Tamandua tetradactyla: one gene and its partners. The protein of the gene in region 1 interacts with the protein of each later gene in a pairwise test. Links are inferred from orthologs where the notes say so. Each region holds a gene or a part of one and is shown on either strand. Other genes may lie near its edges. The genes, in order: FAM131C, HPCAL4 and VSNL1.

Region 1 (7,756 bases):
CATTTCCTGCCCCACAGGGTTGAATGAAGACTGTATCAGGGGAGGAAAGGCTCAGCCTAGCTTAGCACGTAACAAACAGTAGCTTAAATATAGATAACACAAAACAGCTCCTGAAAACAGCATCTGTGGCCTTAATCTGGTCCCAATCACTTTCCCGATGTCCTCAGCATCACAGATGTCTGCCACCCACTTCTTTTCCAACGAGACAAGCTGGGGCCTGAAGCCTCTGTTGCTTCCCCTTTCCCAGCCAAGATGGTCTGGATTGGCTGTCTGCACAGAAGAGTGAATATAAAAATTTAAAACAAAACAGCTAACAGGTTGGAGTAGCTTGCTGCATGAGTGCTGGACCAAGGCATTTAACTCCCCCAACAACCTGTTAGTATTCCCATTGTAGAGATGAGGACACCGAGGTTAAGAAACTTTTGAGGTCCCACAGCTAGTGAAGGGTGGGGACTCAAACCCAGGCTGGCCGGCTCCAGAGCCTGCCTCCTAACCTCCCGGGCCTGGTGTAGAAGCTAACTGCTGCCTGGTGCTGGGACAGGCTAAGGTCTCCCAGGTGTGACTTGTACCTAAATTTCGGCTGGGATGGCCCCACTGGGTGCACACGTGGGGCTCAGTACGAGCATCAGCCTGATAAGGCTCACAAGCCTAGGCCTGGGCTTTGGGCTGCGTACCTGACTCAGGGAAGTACTTGCAGCAGGGAGGCTGGGGTTGGCCACTGGCACCAAGGTGTGGCGCGGAGGTGTGGGGCACAGAAGCCCAGGGAAGCCTGCAGCTGGACGGGAGCAGGACAAGTGCCAGCGGTGGGGTCAGGGTTGGCTGTGGCTGGGGGTCCTGGCTCTGCTGTTAGCATACCTGGGTTCAAATCCTGGCTCAGCTATTTCCTAGATCTGACTTGTGAGAAGTTCCTCAACTGCCCTCTGCTCAGTTTCTCCATCTGTAAAATGGGGATAGTGATAGTTGATCTTCTGCTAGTTGTATCTAGAACTGTCAGAACAGTACCTGGTAAGCTGTAAACACTCAAAAAGTACTAGTAATTATTAGAGGGGTGGGTCTGGGTCTGGGTCACGCAGACTGTAGAGGACAATGTCCCAGCAGCTCCTTGTACCTCCTTTGACCTTTGTCCAGATGGCCTGGTGCATATTGGGACTATAAGTGGTCCCATCCTCTCCACAGGGAGATGAGGTTGGAATTCACAGCTAGGTCTGGGAGTGGGCCAGGCTGCAGGAAGAAGGGTGGAGAGTGCATGTGGGGCTGGTGAGACCCCAAACAGGCCTGGCAGAGGGTGCTGTGCAGGGAGGGAGCACCGGGCAGGGGGCCCAGCCCCGGCTGGACACTGTCTTGGCAGGCATCCCTTCCCCTGTGGCCTGTCTGTAGTGCCCAGTGGGTCCACAGCTCACAGGGATATTCATTGGGGGCTGGGTCTCCACGGTGCTGGCACAGAAGGCCAAGTGACGGAGAAGGGACAGTTACCAAGGAAACACCAGATCCCAGACCCCCACCACCTGGAAACAGTCTCAGACAGAGACCACCCAGCGCTTTCGGGGTTTCTGGAGACAATGAGCCTGTGACTCCTAAACAACCCTAAACCCTTTTCACTCTTAAAACTACCTTCCCCTCTGGCTGGGCTGTGGTGGGATGCTCAGGTGGAGCACGTGCCTGGCACACAGTAGGTACCATGTTATACCATGTTACTATCAACTTAATGAAAGAATAAATGAAGCTCAAAAAGCCTGACCCTGTTCCTTCCCACCCCACCCACAATCCCATCCCAACACCCTCAAGAGGTATCTTGAGCCATTCACCCAAATGGTCCCCATGACACCTTTAGTGTGAGCAGAGCCCCTTAGAGCACAGAGGAAGGCGGGAGGGCTGGGCTCCCCCTGCCAGGACACAGTCCCCTCCAGGGCCTGCCCGACCCCTCCCCAAGGCCTATTCATCTCACATGAGAAGGCGATTGGGGTGATGGGTGGGGTGGTTGGGGTCAGCGGGTTTGGCCTCAGGCTGCAGAGCCCAAGCCAAGGCCGCAGCCACCCCCAGCCCCGCGCCCCTGGCCCCACCGTGGGGTGAAGTGCTCCAGGTGGGAGAGTGGCCCAGCTCTAGCTTTTTGCTAAAATGTTGCTCAGCAGCCTGAGGTTCCCCTGGGAAGCCGGGACTGGGGGAGTGGGGGTGGGGGCTCCAAAGACCAATCTGCCCATCCCCCAGCCTCTGAGAAAGGCTCCTTGGCCCCCACTTCCATGCCTGCCCTGGTCCCCCAGGCAAGGGCAGTGCACTCCAGCTCCACGGGTGCTACCCTGGGGAAAATGGGGAGGGTGGGTGTCAGGGGCAGGAGGAGTGCCCAGCCAGGACTGGAGCAGAGGGTGAGGGGCTCAGAGACAGAGGGACAGACCCAGGGGTTCCTGGAAACCCAGCTGCTCTCTGTCCTTCTTCTCCCCTGACCAGAACTAGGATGAAGGAAGGCGGGCCAAGGGTGTGGGATGGCAAACCTTTACCACCTGTTCACCTCCCTTAACCCCTTCCTGCCAGGGGGGTTCAGGGACTCTAAAGATAAGATTTGAGCATGAGGGAGAGGAGGGAAGGAGCTGGGGGGAGGAGGGGGTGCTGGGGGCCTGGCCTGGGTGTGTGTGTGTGGGGGGGTCTGCTTGTTCCCTGGTGCCCCCTCAGTTCCTCCACAAAGCTGGGTCAGAAACCCCCTCCCCTCCAAGGCACACCTCAGGGGGTGTGTGGCTGTCGGCGAGGAAGCATGGCACAGGGACCCAGCTTCCTGCCAACTGCCCACGAGCCGGGAGGGGGCCGCGGATGCGGTGACCTCCGGGCGCTCTCTCCCTGGACCCCGGCCAGCCCGTCGCGCACCCTGTCCGTCTCCCAGCTCCGCGACCCTGGGGTCCGGCTGCTTTAGGGGCAGGGGTCGCCTCCCCCATTCCTCCCCCCTCCCCACCCCCAGCTCCCGGAGCGCGCACGCGTCCTCAGCGCGGGGACCCAGCCTCCCGCCCACCCCCGGCCCGCGGTGCCCTCACCTCGCGACACGCAGGAGCCCATCACGGGGCCGCGGGGCCGGGCCGCTGCGCCTTGGGTGCGTCGCGCCGCGGGGCGCTCATGTCTCCGCGGGCCGGGGGCTGCACGCGCGGCGCGGGCGCCCTGGCGGGAGGGCGGCGGGCGGACAGCGAGGCAGGGGCGGCTGGGCTCGGCCTCCGCTCCCGCCCCGTGGCCGCCGCCTCCTGCGCCGCGCCCGCTCCTGCCGGTCGCCGGTGGTACCGCGGGGCGGGGCGCGGCGGGACGGGGCGGGGCGGGGGGCCCCGGGGGACCCGAGCGTGCGGGGCTGCGCGGGGCTGGGTGGGGCGGGAGTCGCGCCCGCAGGTCCTGTCCGTCCCCCAACCGCCACCCCCCGCCACCTCTCACCCACGCACCTGTACCGCCGTCCCCCCACTCCCCCCCGCTGGAGGACTCGGGGATGAGAGGGGGACCTCTGCCCTCAGACCCCCCGCGCCACCTGCTGACTTGGGCTGAAGGTCAGGGAAAGGGATATGGGGGGGCGGGGAGGGGGCGGAGAGAGTTCTGGCATATGAGGCATAAAGGAAATAGCATTAATTTAATAATCATAATAATAACGTTGAGGACACCAGGCATCTGGCACAATAACTATAACTCCATTATCTCCATTTTGCAGAGAAAGAAACTGAGGCTCACAGATGTCAGATGCTTTGCCCAGTTCCCTTAGCTGCAGAGGGACAGGGACTTCTGACCAGTCAGCCCCTCCTTTGGGGGACGCTGGTCCAGGGTAGGCACATGCACTAGTGGCCTCGCTGCTGAGAGACAATCAAACCCCCCGCCCCCCGCCCCCCACCCCCCCCTCCATGGGGCCTGGGGGTGGGGGCAGCAGCCGGAGGGGCACCAAGGCTGCCTCTCCAGGCTCGTGAAGAGGCACAGCGGAAAGGGGGCGCTACTTCCCCAGCCCAGGTGCCCCCCCCCATGGAGCAACAGTGGCACACTCTGCTCACTTACATGCACACACAATTGTACACACACGCAAACACATGCACACACACTCACACTCTTGCTCACCCTCACCACACCCCAGCTCCTGGCAGGGTGATGGAGGTCCCTTAGCAGACCTCCCCCGGCCAACAGCACGTCATGATGCGCAGAGTGCTTGCTTTCACAGGTCTCACTCCATCCTCATACCTACCTGCACACCAGGTGAGAGAGCCAGGTTCCCAGGTTTCCTTCACCGAGGTGATGAAGAGGATGAAGAAGGTCTGGGCAGGGCATGGAGACCTCAACGGGGCAAGATCTGGGCCCGGAGGGACTGCTGGGGGTCACGTGCGTGTGGGTGCCCTTGGCCATGCAAAGTTCGGTGGTGTGTGCTCTGGCACCCGGTTGTGGGGTCAGCTGTCTGGGTCTGAACGCAGACCCTGCACGAGCTGTGTGACCGTGAGCACATCGCTTCACCTCCCTGAGCCTCAGTTTTCTCCTCTGTCAACTGGGATTGCTGCGAGGCTTCATGAGAGAACAGATGCAAAAGGATGGGCACATAGTGGATTCATAACTGAGGGCTAAAATGCAGTAGCAGTGGTGGAAACAGGCGTTCCCAAGGCCCAAGGAGAAGCTTGGAGCACCTCCATTCAGTGAATATTTATGGGGCACCTACTATGTGCCAGTGAGACCAAGACAGATGTGCCCGTCCTTGGGTCAGTGTTGTATTCGGTGGTGGGGGGGTGGGTGGGGAGGGACTCAGAGCCCGTCCTATCGGGCCTGCCTCCAGGTGGGTGTCTGTGAAGGGACAAGTCCGCCCTGTTCACCGCTGATGCCAATGTGGGCAGGTGTCAGGTGTGTGCTGCCCTCCTGTGGAGAAGGAGGGATGGGGCTGCCTGTGGCGCCAGGCCAGGCTCTGGTGCCCTGACCTGAAGGGTGGGGTGGGGGCGGCAGAGGTGTCCTTTCTCCTCTTCCTGTCTTGGAGTGCCTGGATTTGGCTTGGAGGGAGGGCTCTGACTCACCATGACGCAGGCGCTTGGTCACGGCTGCTGCCGCTCCAGCTGGCAGCCTCGCAGCTCTGGGGACAGAGGGGACAGGGAGGAGAACCCCTGCAGAGAGGATGGGGCAGCTCACAGTGGGATGGAAGCTGGGACCCCACTGTGCTCCCTTCAGCCTAAGACAGAGCCAGTTGGACAACGCTGGACACTGTCCCTACCTGTGGCCCATGGCTGACCAACACAGAGATATGCCGGGGTGGTAAGGGAAGATTCTGGCTGTCCCAGCCTCAGATGTTTGTGCTGGTCAATTTCACACTGACCAGCAGGCGGATGTGGCTTACTCCCCTCATTGCAGATTGGTATTCAGAGAGAGACGGGGCTGGCCCAAGGTCACACAGCAAATCCATGGCAAAGTGAGTTCTAGAACCCAGGCCTCTTGCCAGCCAGCCCCAGTGCTGGCAGCCCTGAGACTGGACCATGGCAGGGGGGGCTCCCCTTTGCACACCCACATTCACTTTCCCAGTCCTTGGAATTCTGCTGAAGATGACGATTTCCAGACAACTGCTAAAGGTGTGGTTGTCCTTCGCCAGGGGCAGGATGTCCTTTCCTGGCTCCCCCTACCTGCCCTGTGACCTTCCATTGCCTATCCCCAGGGCCCTCCCTCGGAGCCCCTGGTGGGTGAGGAGACCAGAAGAGAGAGCGCCCAGCAGTGTCTTCATGCTCCGAATCCCTTCATGATTTTGGGAATCCAGGCTGAGCCCCCACCCCAGCAGCTGCCCCGCTGTTTCCCATTCAACCCTCGAATATTCACCCGCCGTGATGCTGGCCCTGGGCTGGGCACTGGAGCGTGGAGAGGAGATGCTGCAGGGTTTGCACGGAGAAAGCCTAATCAACAGGAGCTGTTACAGTGATGAATCAGCCTGGGGGGGTGGGGTGGCATGTTCAGAAATAACTTGGGGTCAGCGCTGCATCCCACAACCAGCCAAGTGCTGAGAAGAGAGAGTTGCTTCTGCCAAGGGCCATGGGGAAGGCTTGAAGGCGACAGTGACCCTGGAACCGGATTGTGAAGGTTGAGTAGGATGTTGGCAGGCAGAGATGTTGGTGGTGGAAATGCTGGGGGTACACAGGGAGACAGGCGTATATGAGGTCTGGGGGACCAGTGGGAGAGGGTGAGATTTTGGATGGGGGTGTGCCCTTCTCTGGGCCTCAAACACCTCCCCAGTATTGGTTTTCTCAGGAAAGACAGAGCTAAATTTGAAGCCAGGTAGATCCTGCACCCAGAGCAATACATAGTAGAGGCTCAATAAATGTTTGTTGAATGAATGCAAGAAAGTACAACTTATACAGGGTCACATATCTGGAAAGAGGTTATAGCTCGGACTGATTGCATTCACCCAGCAAATATTGAGCACTTACTCTGTGCTAGGTCCTGTCTAGGGCTAAGATTTCAGCCCAAATGAGACAGGCCAAGTCCCTGCTCACAGAAGCTGAGAGTTCCAATGGGGGAGGCAGACACTGGCCAAGTAATGACCCCAACGAGTTTAGAATCACAGCCCTGAGAAGTGCTAGAGAGGAGCCGTGAGAGTGTAGAAGAAAAGGAGTTGATGTGATCTCGTGCTTGGAGGGAGCCCTCAGGAGGATGTGGCAATGACTGAGCCCAGAGCTGAAGGAAGAGTAGGACTTGGACAGGCAGGGAGAGGGAAGATGCTGAGGCCCCGCAAACAGCACAAGCAGAGCTGCAGAGGAGGGAGGGCCACGGTGGCGGGGAAAAGAGGATGGGGTGGGGGAGAGAGGCTGGCAGGAGCCAGCCTCAGCGGGGCCTCACAAAGGGGACCTGTTTTCATCCAAAGAGCCAAGGGAAGCCCCATCCTCTGTTTCCTCGTCTGTAAACCGAGCATTCTTCCATTCGCTCTTGGGTGGGTCGAGGCCCAGATGAAATTCCAGGTGGAGCTCCTGGTTTCTCTGGAGACCTGGCCCGGCCTGGAGGCCTCTGCAGGGAGCCTGATGAAGGAGTCCACAGGCTGACCTTGGGACATGTCCACTCTCAGCTCCGGACTTGCACAGTGGACTGGCAGCTGGAGTTGGATGTCAGTTTGCATTCCTCCGCCCCCATAACCCTCGGCGCAAGAAAGTCTAGGCGTAGGGAGGAAGAAGGGTGAGCCCCAGTCGGATGGGGGGGGGGGCTCCCAGTCTGATGGAGGAGACACAGCAACTCTGTCACCATCAAGAGACCAGCCTCATGAGTTAACAGGAGCAGTGACTTCGCCTCCAAAATGTCTGGCCCAGGCCTGGTCTGTGGTGGCTACTTCAGGACGGGATCCCTTCCTCAGGATTCAGAGGTCTCCTACCCCAAAGCTTGGGTCTCGAGATGTCCACTGGCAAGGAGGAAGGTCTACTGCTTTAATCAAGACAGAGACCAGGGTACGGGACCCCTGAGACGATTTTCCTCAATCGTGGGTGTCATGCAGCTGACGACCAGCAGGGGGCAGCTGAGACGGCAGCATTCTTTACAGCTTTTATTTTCCTTCCTCCCATGGCCAATTGACCTAGAAAGTACCACGCTGCCAAAGCAGCCACGGCTCAAGGCTGTGCAGCTTGTGCCCTGCACAAAGGTGCCCAGCTAAGGGGAAAGGGACTGGAACCCCACCTGTGCTCTGGTCACCAAGCCCTAAGCTCTGAAATGAGATTGTCTCTGGCCCAGTTGGGGAGCTTTTTTCTTAGCACAAAGAAAGGTGTCATCTTGCTAAGCTGTGTACTACGAGGCTGTATTCACCCATAGGGAAGGC
Region 2 (7,123 bases), about 24 Mb from region 1:
CTGGGCAATTTCCCACAGCAAAATCTGTTCTAATCACTTTGTATATATTAACTCATTTAAATCCTCAGGATAGTCTTATGAGATAGGTACTGTTATCACCATCCCTATTTCACAGATGAGGAAACTGAGACACAGAGAAGTTGAGAAATTGTCCATGATCACACAGCTGGTAAGTGATAGAAATGGGAGGCAAATCCAGGCAGCCTGGCTATAGAGTCTTTGCACTTAAGCTACTACACTCTATGCTTCTCCAGCAGGAGAAGGGGGAATACATGCAGAATGCAGGACAAGCTAAAACACAAAATCTCCTGCAGCAGTTATCTTTCAAGGGAAGGATCACAGAGAACTTCCACTTTCTTTGTCTCATTTTTTAGCCACCAAGAAAAGATAATAGAGAGATTTCTATTTTGGAATTTAAAAATAAATCTTGCTTAGCCAATAGGAGAAAGGGAAGGAACTCAACTCTGGTGATCTCACTCTCCCAGCCACAAAAGAGACTGTGAAATATCTAGAACCCATGGGAATTCCAGCTGTCACCAGGCTGCACTAGCTGAAGCTGAGGAAACCCAGGGAGGTAGGAAGGCATTATCCATCATAAAGGCAGTGTTTGGGGGCCAAGGAGGAGCAAAAAGCAAATTAAAGTGGTCACTGCATGCAGATCTCAAAGTCCGATTAGATTCACATCCCTCTTAGAGTACCCTTTGGGGGCCTCCCACGCAGCCACACTGTTCCCTTTTTCACACAGCCTCCTCTGCCTTCCTCATTCTGCAGGACCTGCTCCTCCAACACATGGAATAGGTGTTTGCCAAGGCGCCACGCTTGAGAACAGAAAGACCACAATAAAGTTCCAGAGCTTAAACCTTATTCTTCTGGCTCAGCCTTCAGCCTCATAACAGTGGAAACCCCAGTTCAGTCCTGGATGCTACCCCTTCCCAGGAGCACAGCTCAGTCAGTCCTGGATGCTACCCCTTCCCAGGAGCACAGCTCAGTCAGTCCTGGATGCTACCCCTTCCCAGGAGCACAGCTCAGTCAGTGGATGAGAACATGTACCTGAAGTCAGGTGGACATAGGCTCAAATTCTAACTTGTCGTTAAGGTACTGCATTACAACTTCTCTGAGCCTCCATTCCATTGCCGTGAAATGAAGTCCTATAATGACATCACAACTGATATACAGACGTTATGCACCAGTTCACTGAACTCGCAGTTAAAATATAAAAACTCTCCCATATTGGTTGGTAAATACATAGCCATATCCCTGAGCCCCCCCCCCCCCCCACGACCCGAGCTTCTCCTATACACACTCCCCTTGATCCAGGAACTAAAGTGTTAACTCTTGGCAGAATAGAGAGCCACCAAGACATTGATCTAGCACTGAGTCCGGTTCTGACTGGTAACGTTAGTGCCTTGGGGGGTTGGTAGATATTTTTAATGTCACCCTTGTCAGTGGGTATCTTTGGGATTAAGTAAGATGATGCAGATAAAGGACTCAGCAGAAAGTCTGGTACATGCTGAAGCAATTCAGTTAATGTCAGCTGTTATTGCCTTAAACATCAAACCTAGGGGAGCAGAGGCAAGATCAAGGTCAGGATCTCAGAGTCAAATATTAGAAGCAGATGAGATGGGTTATGACAGGAGCAGTCATGGGGGGTTCTGGAATGATTCATGAGCCAAGCTGCATGGCGGTCCTGCATGGTTTAAAAGAGCTGGAGCATTATCAATCTATACTGCTTTACCAAATGTCCCTTGTTTCCCTTCTCATGTTTGCCTGGGATACCTTGGATCCTGTGCTTGACTCCAAGAGAAGTCACACACTGACCTTTGCAGTTTATGAAAGCTTCTACTTGTCCAGCTCTACTGCTACTACTGGACTTCCATGTCTCGGAGGCCTCTGAGATAGAGAAGCTGCTCCCAGAAAACTAGACTTTCTGATGAATGGAGAATCAGAAGCGAATATTCCCTTTCAAGATCCTGCCACTTCAGGACTTGAAAGATCTTAAGGAGAGGCAGTATTATGTATTGGCTAGGAGTGGGTCTCTGGAGCCAGACTGCTTGGGTTCAAATCCTAGCTGCAGTTTTATTAGCTATGTGAAATTGAGCCAGTAGTTTAACTTCTCTGTGCCTCAACTTCCTCATCCATTAAGTGGGAATAATAATAGCACCTAACTCATGAGTTCTTTTTTTTTTACATTAAAATATTGGTTTTTATTATGTATCACTGATGTTATAGGACTAGCAATAAAAAGCAATTCTACCAGGATTAAACCATTGAAAAATCACACCACAAGTTTCAAAAACATCAAGGAAATGTAATGCACAAAAAGAAATGAGGTCTTATGAGGAATAAATTAGGTAATACATATAAAGTGCTATAATAGCAACTGGAGCAAAGTAAGCTTCTCAATATATTAGCAATTACTAAGGGACTCAAAAGTCTAGTAGAGCAGTCAGATTTATGCCTGCTGAATTATTCTGTCCAGGGTGTCAGTCTTTCTTCACCTTCCTATTTGAAATTCTTTTTTCTATTTGAAATACAGATAGCCCTCTGTACTATCTCCCATATCTTAGAGACCAGGAGGCCCAGAGAGAGAGGAGGATCTTGCCCACTGTCATATGTGGGGTCATTGGCAGAGATGGAGCAAGAGTGAGTTCTAACCCATCTCTGGGTCCCCTGGGCCTAGGGCAGAGAAGGTACCTGGGAAATAACAGAGGCAGAGTTTCAGGCACCTTGTGAGCTACCCACAGATGATACCAGGTATGTGCCTCCTAACTGGAGACCTAGGTGCACCCGCGCTAGGCGCTCAGAGGTAATATAGCCTGCTGCCCAAAGAATGGCTCAGCAAAACCCGTTTCTAAAGAAGAAGAACATTGGCTTTTGCTCCAGAACGAGTAGCTCCAGAGTTGCTGGGACCAGCCCCAGAAGCCTATCCTCCACCAGGGGCTGGACTCTCCCCTAACCCCCAGCTTGCCACTACATTAGCCACTTCATGGTCCAGTCTTCACTGCTACCCCTCAGAATCTTCCCTCCCATTCAACTTGTTCCCAAACGCCCGGTCCGCAGGCTTGACTTATTCTCAGAAGCTCCTCCTCCCTGTGGCCCAGTCAGAGGACACCTGCTCCCCTTCACCCCCAGTTTTGGGTTAAAACGATTCCTTTCTATCCCCTTGGGCCAGGGATTCGCAACCGTCAGTGCAGCCCGGGTGGCCTGACCGGTCTTCGGGGAGACCCCCAGTGCACGAGGGAGGTGTCCTCGGGGCCCTGAAACCTTCCAGACCCTCTCAGTGTAAACCGCCTTGGGTTTGTGTCAACATCCGAGGCCGGAGACTGGCGGCGGCTGCGGGCGGGCTCCGTCTACTGGACGGAAAGACGGGAAGATGGGGAATGGAGGGGTCCATGGGTTAGACAGAGGAATCCTTCTGGCAGAGAACCTAAGAAGCATACTGGAAGTCCTTGGGAAATAAGGATGGCCTGAATGGGGAGGAGTCCCATTCCCATTAGGGGCTGTGGGGGTGGCTGTAAGGAGCCCACGACTAGTGGGAGGCTACCTGGAGGATGGGTGCTTCAACATGCATATTTGCGCTGTCTGCGCCCACCCTCTCTCCTCTTTGCTCCAAGGCATGAGGGGAGTGGGTGTCTATAGGGAGGGGCTCAGAGTCGTGGGCTGTTAGACCACCCCATGTTTTCTCTCCCCCACCCGGCTACTCGGCAGCTTCTTGTAGGCCCCTTCCAATTTCGGGTGGGCTATGAGGGGTGGGGCGCGTCTTGTGATTCATCCACCCCCACCCCTGCTGGGGCCCAGGAAGGGAAGGCTTGGAGACTCGGCTGTGGCTCTCGGTTTCCATAGCAACGGTGTGGTTGTTTCTGCGAATCCTTTTCAATCGTTGACAGTTTTCACCCTAGACGGTGGCCCGGGGTCTGAGCCTCAGAGTGGGAGTGCAGATGGGGCTGCAGCCCACCCCCTTCTTCCCGACTCCGGGAAGGTCAGCGCGGGCGGGCGGGCGGGGCGCGCTCCTCCAGCCGGGCCTCGCGGGCCACCCCATCCCCACCTGAAACACCTCCTGTCACTCCGCCCCAGCCGAGCCAATCAACGCCAAATTTGCTCGAGCTGAGGCGGGAATTATGCAAATCGTGTCGCCTCGGAGAGGCACATAGTGATACAAGAGAGGCGGCTCCGGTGCGGACCTCGGAGAGCCCGGCCGCCTGCTAGTCTCGGTCCGCGCGGCCCGCGGAGGCGCAGAGCCAGCCAGCCACCCGGCGAGCGGCCTCAGGTAATGCGGGCGGGGCCGGGACCTCGGAAGCGCCCCGCCGGGCCGAAGTCCTTGCCACCCTCCACTCCCCATTCCCATCTTCTTCTCTAGCCTCCCCTGATTCATCTCCCTGGCCCCCGCTTCCGTCATAGGCGTCAGCATCTGGAGGGCCGCCGCGGGCGGGCGGGGGACCCCGATCTCAGTCAGACCCCGAGGGCCCCAGGGAGGGAGGAGAAGCCACTTCTTTACCTCCGGCTCAGGTAGGAACGACCCTTTCCCTGGGCTCCCAACACACACACACACATACACACACCTGGAGGTGTGGTGTGGCCAGTGTGAGTGGAGGCACCAATCACCCTCCCTCTGGTTGCCTTCAGAGACTGATAGTCTGCCCAGCCCCATGGCAACCTCCCACCACCACAAATAGCCCTCACCCACAACACCCAGCTCCACCCCCCCCCCAGCAGCTCACTGCTCTTCACACCATGCAGCCCCTGCCCCCAAAGACAACCTCATAGAAAGTCAACCTACTCCCACTTCACATGGTCCTCTCAGTGTCACCACTTCCCACCCGTCAAGCTGGCAGAGCTCACAGCATACCTGAGAGAGGGAGGGAGGCGCCACCACAGTTTCTTTCCTCACAGACATTCTCTCAACAGCCTGGCCATCCCTATGACCCCAGTGTTGGGAAAAGGCCCCATGTTTGGCCTCTTTCGTCCTGGCTGGGGACCCTTCCCAACCCCATCCCTTCAACAGACTATCTATATCTTCCTAGTCACTGCAGCCAAGAGACCAGCTTCCAAGCCTCCTCCATTCCCCTCCTGCCTCCCAGCCAAAGCACCAATTTCTCTCCTTCTACCTCTCAAATGTCTTTCTAAGTCATACTCTCTGTGGCCTTCTTGAACCTAGTCCCTCCCTCCCTTTTCCAACTTCTTGCTGCCAGAGCTCCAATTGGACTGTGTTGCTTCTTTCCCTGAAGTGGTCTGAACCTGGAGGGAAGAAGATCTTGCCTTTGCCCCAAGTTGCCATTTAACTTTGGTCAAGTCACTTCCCTCTCTGATTCACTGTGGAATGGGAGAGGTGAGCAGGATAGGGGGTAAACTGGATGAGATGATCTTTAACAGCCTTCCAACACTGACGTGTTCTGATTCTTTGGCTGATTATGAGAAAATAAGACCCTTTCACTCTTTCCCTGAACCATTAGGACAATTCAGACAAGAGGCCTGAGGAACTTCAGCCCTCACCAAAGGGATATCTCTTCTTACCCAGGCCTAGATCCAAGTCATTTCCTCCCATACGTTCTCCAGGCCTCTTCCACAAGAGTCCCTCCAAGGCACGGACAGCCCCAAGATGGGGGTGGTTAACAGTGCCCACCCTTTGTTTAGTATCCCTTTGGTTCTCATTAACAAGTAGATGGAGAAGTTTTGCTCAGCTGCAGACCAAAGACCTGGGTGCTGCTGCTGCTATTGCTGCTGCTTGGAGAAGAGCAAGGGAAGGAAAAGAAAAAGAGAAAAATCTCCTGACCAGGGAGCTGATGTCACCATGGCAACAGCCTCAGCACCAGCTCCTCTGAAGCTAGTGAGGGTGTGGGATTATTGCCTTCCTCAGTCCCTCCCACCCTTACTTCGCATTCTAAGCCCAAAACCCTGAGCCCTGTCCTCTGGAAGAAGCCTCAGAGCACAGAGGAGACAGTGGCTCTGTGTATGGGACAGTACCAGCTTCTTCACAGCTGGAGGGAAGCCTTCAAGAGGTTAGCAGAGCCATAGCTGCAAGAGAGCATGCCTGCAGGTGGATTCTGGCCTCCACTTTGCTACTAATGGGCACTGGCTGACCTTGAGCAAGCCCTTCCCTTCCCTTTGTCTGGGTTCCATTGCTCTGAATTGGGTAAAATGGTAGGAAAACAGATAAATGAAACAGCCCAACATAAGATCCAAGGAGGAAGAAGGGAGTTTTGCCCTTTTAATGTACTCCACCAAAAGATATTCACTGAACATCACCATGTTCCAGGCACTATCTTTAGGTCCTTAAAGGGTGATTCTCTGTAGCCACAGAGGGCAGAGATGGAGCCAATGTGGGGAGCTACAAGGAACAATGGAAAAAAGGCTCTTCTCACTGTCCAAGCTGCTCAAAGGTGGGCTAAGTCATATTGGGAGGGGGTAAGCATCTTGCAATTGAACAAAAAGGTCTGGAGAACATTTTCTGGTGCAGGCAAGGATTTAATGCAAAGGCTTCTCCCATATCAGCTTCCACCCTGGGATTCTAGAGCATCAGGCAAAGGTCACAGAGCTCTGAAGTCTACATGCTTGTGAAGGCTGGACTCCATGGCCTCCTAGGGTTATCCATGTCCAGATGATGACCCCATGCTGTTGACCATTCACTGTCTGGGCTGGAAGAGGCTGGTCATAAGGAAGTGGGCTTCAGCCAGGACCTGCAGGCTGACTATAGCCTACATCAGCCCAGAAGAGAAAATAGGGCATTAAAGGAGAGGAAAGCAACTAAGCAAATAGGTGAGATAGGTCCCAGCCATGAGAAACTTAGTTTGAAAAGAGTATGGGGTTGTGAGGGGAACGTTAGAAGGTGAGGCTAGACAGGTGGACACCTTGAGGCCAGATTCTAGAGGATCTTAGAGTTGGAGGGGACCTATGGGCATGGCCACCTCTAGTGTATTGTACTTCTGTGCAAAACTGGTAAAGGTGTTCCCTTGGAGCAGAAGAATCAGAAGAAAGGCACTCCCTGTGGGGCAGTTGAATGGGCATATACATGAGTTGGCTAACAGACCCCCAGGTTGATTTCACTTCCAAAGAAGAAATGACAAGACTTGGTGGCAAGTTAGAACTAGGCGAAAGGGAGAGGAAAAAACTGAAGATAATTGAGGGA
Region 3 (7,420 bases), on another chromosome or scaffold:
TTCAATGTATGTTTCCATAATTCAAAAATGAAGAGCAACTAAAGAGACGATGCCAATTAAATGCAAGATGTGATCCTGGGCCAGATCTAGTGACGGAGAAATGATCCAAAAGGTCATTATTGAGACGTGAAAAAATTGGAATATAGATGATAAGCTTTACATCAATGCCAAATTTCTTGAATTTGATAACTGCACTTAAGGTGGTTGTGTATGTGAAAATATACCCTTAATCCTTAGAAAACGTACATGAAAGTATTAAGTTCAAGGAGCATGAGCTACACAACCTACTCTCAAGTGTTTAGAAAATAGATAGACGGAGGAGTGGGTAGGTGGAATGATATGGTGAATGTGGCAAAATGTTAAAATTGATGGGTCTGATATTTGGGGTGAAGGGTGTATCGGCATTCTCTGTATGGGTTTTGTATTTATTAGTTTTTCAGTTGTACTCTAAATTCAAAAAGGTATCAAAATAAAAAGTTGGAAGCAAGCAAGAAAGAAACCAGGGGAGGACAGGGAGAAATAGCCAACGGGGTCCAACAAATCCTAGACTGCTCACCCCTCCTCTGTGTAGACAGGCGTGGAATGGCCTCTGTCCGACTGGCAATCACAACTCCCTCACCTTGCCTTTTCCCACTTGTTTTAGAAACACATTCAGAAGAGTACAAACATGTACAATGAAACATGTTATGTACCAGAAAGTTTGCTGTGAAGTTGTATTCTAGGAGATGGCATCCTGTCTGACTTTAGGGGAGTTATTTTATTGATTCCGTCCATCCATATGTTACAAGTTGAGTTGTGTCTCCAAAAATACATGTGCAGGCTTCCCACCCTAATGCTGTGACCATAGCCCTATTTGGGAAAAGGGTCTCTGAAGCTGTGGGTAATGAAGACGAGACCAGTGCGCATGAGGTCGAGCCCTGTTTCAACACAGCCTGTCTCCATGAGAAGGGAAGAACGGACAGAGATGGAAGGAGGTGGCCATGCCGCCGTGGAGGTCAGGACCAACCCAGGATGGGAGGCGAACTGCCAGAAGACTGGAAGAGGCAAGGAAGGGTTTTCCCCCACAGGTTTTGGGCTTCTAATCTCCAGAACTGTGAAACAATACATTCTGGTCTCGCTAAGCCACCTGGTCTGTGGTGCTTGGAGGCAGCCTTAGGAAACTAAAACACCATACATTTTAAAAACAGGATAAAAAGTAAAGATACATGAAATTATCTTACATAACACTTCTCTGTAAAGATAATAACCTTAGCTTTTGGAATAAAGGCATTTTGCCCATACAAGAAAATTACTGCCATAATTCTTTAGGAATTTAAATGAATATCTGTTTTCCAATTCTTATCGCTTTTCATTTTCTAATGAGAACTTTAAAACACCTTATTTTTCTTCCAGTTTTCTAGCTGCCCTCATGCCTTAAGTTCTACAGTTCTTTCCTCATATTTATACACAAACATTTCTAACAAATGATATTATAATGAGATTGCAGAACCACAAGTTTAGACCTGTTGTACTGCTGGTATTTTCTCATTTTTACTGTCATTCTCAGTGTGTCCGTGCCACATTTGACACAATTGGGAATATTAAATGTGGCTGTGGCCATCTTTAAAAAGTATTCTTGGTTTGATTTCATTTTCTTTGCTTGAATCTTTGAAGGAGTGTGGTGGGAGTGAGGCTAGGAACCTGCATAAAGAACGTGATTTGCAACTGAGGAAAGGAAAATGCCTAAGTGTTTCTGGGCAACTGAGGAATTTCTCCCCAGACTCATGAAGGAATAAACAATTCCCTGCCCACAGCATCCCACTCCCCCTAAAATAAAATAAAATAAAAACCCTCCACCTGGACCTGCCTTGGGTAAAGAGAGACAGCGGCTGAGCGGCAGCCCCCACCCCTACTCCCACCCCGACCCCGCCCCCGGGCGCAGGCTGGGCCTGGCTCCTGCAAGCTCACCAGCGACGCGCAGCTCTGCAGCAGGAGAGGCCCAGCGGGCTCGGTCGGTTTAGATCCCTACTACGTTCCCCTTTCAAGGTCATGCTGCCGCCCTAAGGAGGGGAACCGCTTTCTGCAATTAAAGGACAGTTTAGAATTGGCTTCTCTAGTGTGGCTTCGTGCTACAAATAAAACTCGACCAAAGGGCATCTGAAAAAAAAACAACTGAACAAAAAAGATTAGGGCTCTAAAAGCCACAGAACAGCTGGCGATTAAAAATCAAGATATAGCATTAAGGGCTTCAAACCACGCTCTAATACAACGGAAACAACCCAACTTCAATTAAGGGGGAAAAAAGCCTGCCCAATCGGACAAAGCCGCCTTACAAAGGCGCAGAAAATAAATCCGAGGCGCGCGACCCCAGCACGGCGGGGCGTCGGGGGCACATCTCCCTGGACACAAGTTGAAAGGGAGTTGCATGGAACGAGGAAGTCACCAAAACGACCTCCGGGGCGAGAAATAGGGACATCTCTTTGAAGCAGAGAAACCGCCTCGATTGATGCCGATTGCGGGGGCGGGGCGCGGTGTTTGAGAATGTTTTGGGGAGAAAAACCGAAATGCCCAGGGCAAGCCGCTTCTGGGGAGGGAGCCTATAAAAGACGGAAGATTACTCCGAAAGCCTTGGAGACTGTCTCCCCAGCCAACAGAGCTGAGTTTAGCCACCCCCTCCCCCACCCCAGGAACCACGGGGCGCGCGCGGTGGCGGCGCGGGGAGCCCCGCTGCGCAGTGCGGACTGCGGCCCCGCAGCGCCGAGCCGCATCCCGTGCGCCGCGGCGCCGCCAAGGACAGTACCGCTGCCGCAGCGCGCCCTGCTCCGCGCCGCTCCGCGCTCCGGGTTTCCCGGGTCGCCGGCACCCGGCCGAGGAACCCCGCGGGGAAAGGCGTGCCACACGCCGGGTCCCCCGAGTCCGAGAGCGCACACCCCCCGCCCCCCACCCCCCACCCCGTGCGTCGCTTTCCAGAAGCGCGGGGCCAGCGGCACGCGGCTGGGTGCTGGGTGCTGGGGGCGGGGGCCGGGACCCGTCGCGCTTTGAGCTGGGACGCCCGAGGGTCGGAGCCTGGCCGCAGCCTTCGAGGCCCCGACGCGTGGAACCGCGTTCTCCAGGTTGCGCGCAGGTGGCCGGGATCCCTTCCCAGCTGGGGCCCCCAGGAGAGCCCTCCCCGGCAGCCAAGGTCTGCCACGAGAGACGCTCCTGGTGTCCCCAGCGCCGAAAGGTTCAGTGCCGTCTCCCCGAAGGTGATGGGGGAGGGCGCTGTGCAAACTGTCAAGTTCTCTACTTGGGGGGAACGTCCTTCCTCGTGGAGTCCACATCACTCCCCTCCCCCGGAAAAAGGAAAAATCTCGCCTGACTGTAAACGGCCAGTGCCCAGAAAAGTGCCTTTTATGGAGGCAGTGGGTGTCCGGGGTTCAGGCTGGGGGGCTGCTGCCCATGCGCGCAGCCTTGGGGTGAGCGAGCAGGCCGGGAACATCTGGGCAGTCTCCCTGCTTTCCTGGTAGGGCAACGAGCAGACATTTACTGGGCACGACTCCTTGCCAAGTCTTCTAGGCTTTGGCAGGCCATCGGGAGCGAGGCAGGGCTGGCACGCATGGGGTCGTTCAGGGACGCAAGGGGGCGTTTGGTGAGGGCCTGCACCCCGGGTTCGCAGGATGGGCCATCCCCTACACCCAGGCATATTCAACAGCGTTTACAAAAGGCATACAGAAGGCGCTCGTTTTTAAACCTTCGCTGCTGGCGAGCATGACTTGTTGAAGGTCGCACAGGGCAAGAAGCACACATTTCTCCCACGCCTGCTTTGGGCCGGGGCCCTGCGCCCCCAGGGCTCCAGCTGATGAGCCCGGGATGAGATGCCCCCGGCCAAAGTGCCCGGGGACTGTCCCTTCGGGGACCCGGCGCCCAGCTCACAGGCCTCCTCCGAGGAGTGTTTCTGCCGGTTTTCCTGCACCTCATGCGCCACCGAGGCCTGAGCCGGGGTCGGCGAGGCCCGACAGCGGCTGGAGGCAGGGTCCCCGCGTCCCCTCTCCGGCCTTCCGCGCCAAGGCTGGGTGGCCGCGGGGCCGAGCCCAGCCCGCCTCCCCGCGCGCGCGCGCCCAGGTGCCCGCGTGGCCCGCAGCCCCGCGCCCGGCGCCTGTCTACCTTCCCCGGAGTTTCTGCTAAAAGCTGGAGATGCGGATTCCGCGCGCGCCGGCCCCGAGCCCCTCAACTGAGCATGCGCCGGCGCGGGGCGACTCTGGGTCCCGCGCTCCCGCGCTCGCGGGCTGGGGTTGCGGCGCTGCGGGCGGAGGGCGGGCGGGAGGAGAAGGGGGAGGGGCGCGGGGGGAGGCGGAGGCTCATGCGCCTGCGCACCGGGCTCCAGGGCCCTCGGCTTTTCTATGGGATTCCGGATCTGCAGCAGACTCAGGCAGGCGGGCGCTACTGCGGAGCGAGTCCTGCTGCTCCAGAGCTCCGTGGGGAGAGGCAGCGCAAGAGAACCCCACTCGAGACGGCTTCACCGCTCACCCGAATTAAACACACCACATCCATACAGATAAAGAGCTGCTGAGTGCTCTCCTTCGCGGGAAGGGGCCCTGCGCAGCGCTGAGACTGTAAGTGGCCCAGGCGACTTGGTTGCCTTCGTGCGCGGTAGCGCAGGCAGCCGCCAGCGCGGTGCCTGGGCAGCTGGCACAGACCTCGCTTTGCACGGGTGCGTGCAGGCGCACGGGGCCAGCCCCTCTGGTTGAAGCTGGCGGCTGCAGGGTAGCGTGGGGGGGACCTCTCGGAATAAGGTGGGGGAGGAGGGGGTGCTGGCGGCGCGATGCGGGATTGTCTGAGGCTCGATTTCAGAGAGGGTGGTTGAAAGGCTGTTTGGTGCGTCTCCACGCAGGCGGGTTCTCTTGCCCAGATTTAAGTCGCTAATTGACGGGCTGGGAAGTTTTCCCGCTGCTGAGGGAGCTATGGAGCGGCCGCGGAGGAGCGCCAGCCTGCCCTCGGGGCTTGGTGCACGGTTTCCGTCGCGGGAAGAGCAGCAGGGGTTTGCTAAGCGAAGCGGAGCGGACGAGATGGTGTGCAAGTCAGGGCTGGTTTCTCAGCGGGCTGCAGGGTTCGGACCCACTGAGTGAGGCGCAGCCTGGGCACGTTCCTCTCCGTACCTAGAAAGGAGTCGATCATTTTTCTTTCTGATTGTTTGTCGCGGTGGTGAATAGGCAGAAAAAAAGGGGATGGGGGCTCCCGCCCAGTCGGCGGTGGGTTCCGAAAGGAGGCTGCGACTCGAGACGCGCGCTAGTTGGCTGCCTGCGCCTACCTGCCCCTGCCTGCGCCTGCCTGCTCCGGGCTGCGGGGCGCCCCGAGCCAGATGTGCCACTCTCGGGCCCTGGGCTTCCTTAAAGGAGAAAAGGTCGTTGGGATTTCGGTTCCGATGGGTGGTCCTTGCCCAGAAGCTGAAGAAGTGTCCTTACAAGGTCAAACTCCGCTTGGAAACCACCTCGGAGGCGCAATGGCAGCGATGGGGACGCGCGGGCGGGGGGCTCCAGTAAACGGCAGGTCCCTGCGAGAGTGCGGTGGGCGCAGGGCACTTCCCTGCGAGTATGCGGGGCTGCGCGGCGCGGTGGCCTGGGAGTGGCGAATCCATTTTCCTGGAGTTGCCTTCCTGTCCATATTTTGGAAACCAAAATAAAATGGAAATGCTGGCGGGTGTGGAAAACGCAAGCTGTGGACTGTCTGTGTGTGGCTTCCCACTTGAAGGCAAGAGGAGAGAGAGAGTTTTATTTCTACATATTAAAATTTAAGGAAAAATAAAGGAACTTCAGGTTAAGACAAATCAAAATGAAACTCTTGTAGAATCTCATTTTACCCCCACCCCGTCCAAGCCGCCTGCGTGTGCTGGGGGTGGGGCTGAGAGCGGGAGTCCCGCATCACGAGCATTTACTCGGTAACCCGCGCTCTTTAGGCCTCGCGTCTTCAACAAGCCCAGGAAAAGCTGCACTGGAGCAGCTTTTAGCAGACAAGGGAAGAGTGTGGCCAGTGTGTGATTCCCAGGGAAAGCTCGGGTCCAGTTTCTGAGATAAAATAAAATGAAAACTCCCCCAATAAGGCAGATCCTTCTTACAGGGATCCCTGTTTGGCCCTTTTATCCATCCAACTACCTGGAGCCTCTTACAGGAATTCATGATTTATTTAAATGGGTGGAATTTGAAGTTGCAAATTTGAGAATATCTCCTTAGAAACCCAGCAGTCATAAAGCCTACCCTGTCAGCCCCTTCCTCACTCCAGGTCACAGGGACCAGCCATTGTCACAATGGCGACTACTGCCTGCCCTCTCTTGAGAGGCGGCACCGGTTCCGTGAGGGGCAGGCTCCAGTGATTGATAGGTGCTGGAGGAAAGGGGAGCCCCGACTACATCACAGAGATGTTTGGTCTTGGATTCCCTGGGTCCTAGGCTTAATAAGGGTCAGATTGGGAAGAGACTTTAGAAGGCGTGAGGTCAGTCCCTTGTTTTACAAATGAGGGAACTGAGGCCCGGCGCCATGGAGCTGGAAAAAGAAATCAATTGACTACTAGTCTGTGGAATAGGAAATGAGTAAGTGATGTTGCGTGCAGTTGCCAGTGTGATGGTGCTGCAATCTCAAAAAAAAAAGAAAGAAAACCACCTCTGCTCCTGCAGCCCGTCTTTTAAGCTCGCCTCCGGGACCATGACAGCGCTCCCTCCTCTGCCTCTCTTTTCCTAGGAAGCTCTCCTTCCATCTCTTTTCTGTTTCAGCCACCGCCGATAACCTGCCTCGGCGGACGTTCTCTTGGCCGTTCCGGCCTCTGCATCTCGGGCAGGTTCTCTGGAACCCTCGGGGTGCTGGAGAGAAGGGGCAGATCAGACGCAGCCCCTGTTTGCCGGCGCGCGCCCCCCCCCCCCCCCGCCCCCGTCCTTCCCTGCCCTAAGCCCCAGGACCCTTCGGGGAGTCCAGCCTTCGGGACACTGCGGTGCCACCCCCGCCGTCCGACCCGTGCACCCTCTTCCCAAGCGGGCCTGGTGCCTGGGAGGCAGACCCCGCTCAGAGGCGCAGCCCTGCGGGATCCTCCGGACACGGCAGGTCGGGCGAGGCGGGCGAGGCTGCAGAGGCGGGAGGCTTAAGCGGAGCCCACGTGGGGAGCCGCGCGGCCATTGCGGCCCTGGGCTTCGGAGGCGCTGGCGCAGCTCCATCACGTTGAGTCTGGACAGGTGCAGCCACGCAGGACACCGGCCTTGTCTTCCCTCCTTTTCCTCTCTTCCTCCCTTTCTTCCCTTCATGAAAATTTCCCGAGGGCAAGCCCAATGAAATCCTGGCCTTCTGCGCCTCTGCAGGCACCGGGGAGGATGCCGCAGCCAGCGGAAATGCCTCCTGCAGGGAGACCTCCAGGATTCCTACCTGAGGCGCTGGAGCACCTGGAGAGGGCGGGGGGGTGGGGTGGGGTGCACAGCAAGGCG

What was found.
Region 2: the proteins of FAM131C (region 1) and HPCAL4 interact in binary tests that used the Homo sapiens proteins (3 or more experiments, as listed by UniProt). The two-hybrid records come from large-scale screens. The link is inferred for Tamandua tetradactyla from reciprocal best matches to the Homo sapiens genes FAM131C and HPCAL4.
Region 3: the proteins of FAM131C (region 1) and VSNL1 interact in binary tests that used the Homo sapiens proteins (3 or more experiments, as listed by UniProt). The two-hybrid records come from large-scale screens. The link is inferred for Tamandua tetradactyla from reciprocal best matches to the Homo sapiens genes FAM131C and VSNL1.

Annotation. Positions count from the first base shown.
Region 1 is NC_135328.1:209,801,220-209,808,975, reverse strand, and holds the start of FAM131C (protein FAM131C), read right to left. Parts: upstream 3,072-7,756; 5' UTR 3,040-3,071; coding exon 3,018-3,039; intron 1-3,017.
Region 2 is NC_135328.1:185,698,970-185,706,092, forward strand, and holds the start of HPCAL4 (hippocalcin-like protein 4), read left to right. Parts: upstream 1-4,024; 5' UTR 4,025-4,267; intron 4,268-4,408; exon of another isoform or gene 4,409-4,506; intron 4,507-7,123. UniProt on the Homo sapiens protein: May be involved in the calcium-dependent regulation of rhodopsin phosphorylation.
Region 3 is NC_135329.1:856,138-863,557, forward strand, and holds the start of VSNL1 (visinin-like protein 1), read left to right. Parts: upstream 1-4,340; 5' UTR 4,341-4,571; intron 4,572-7,420.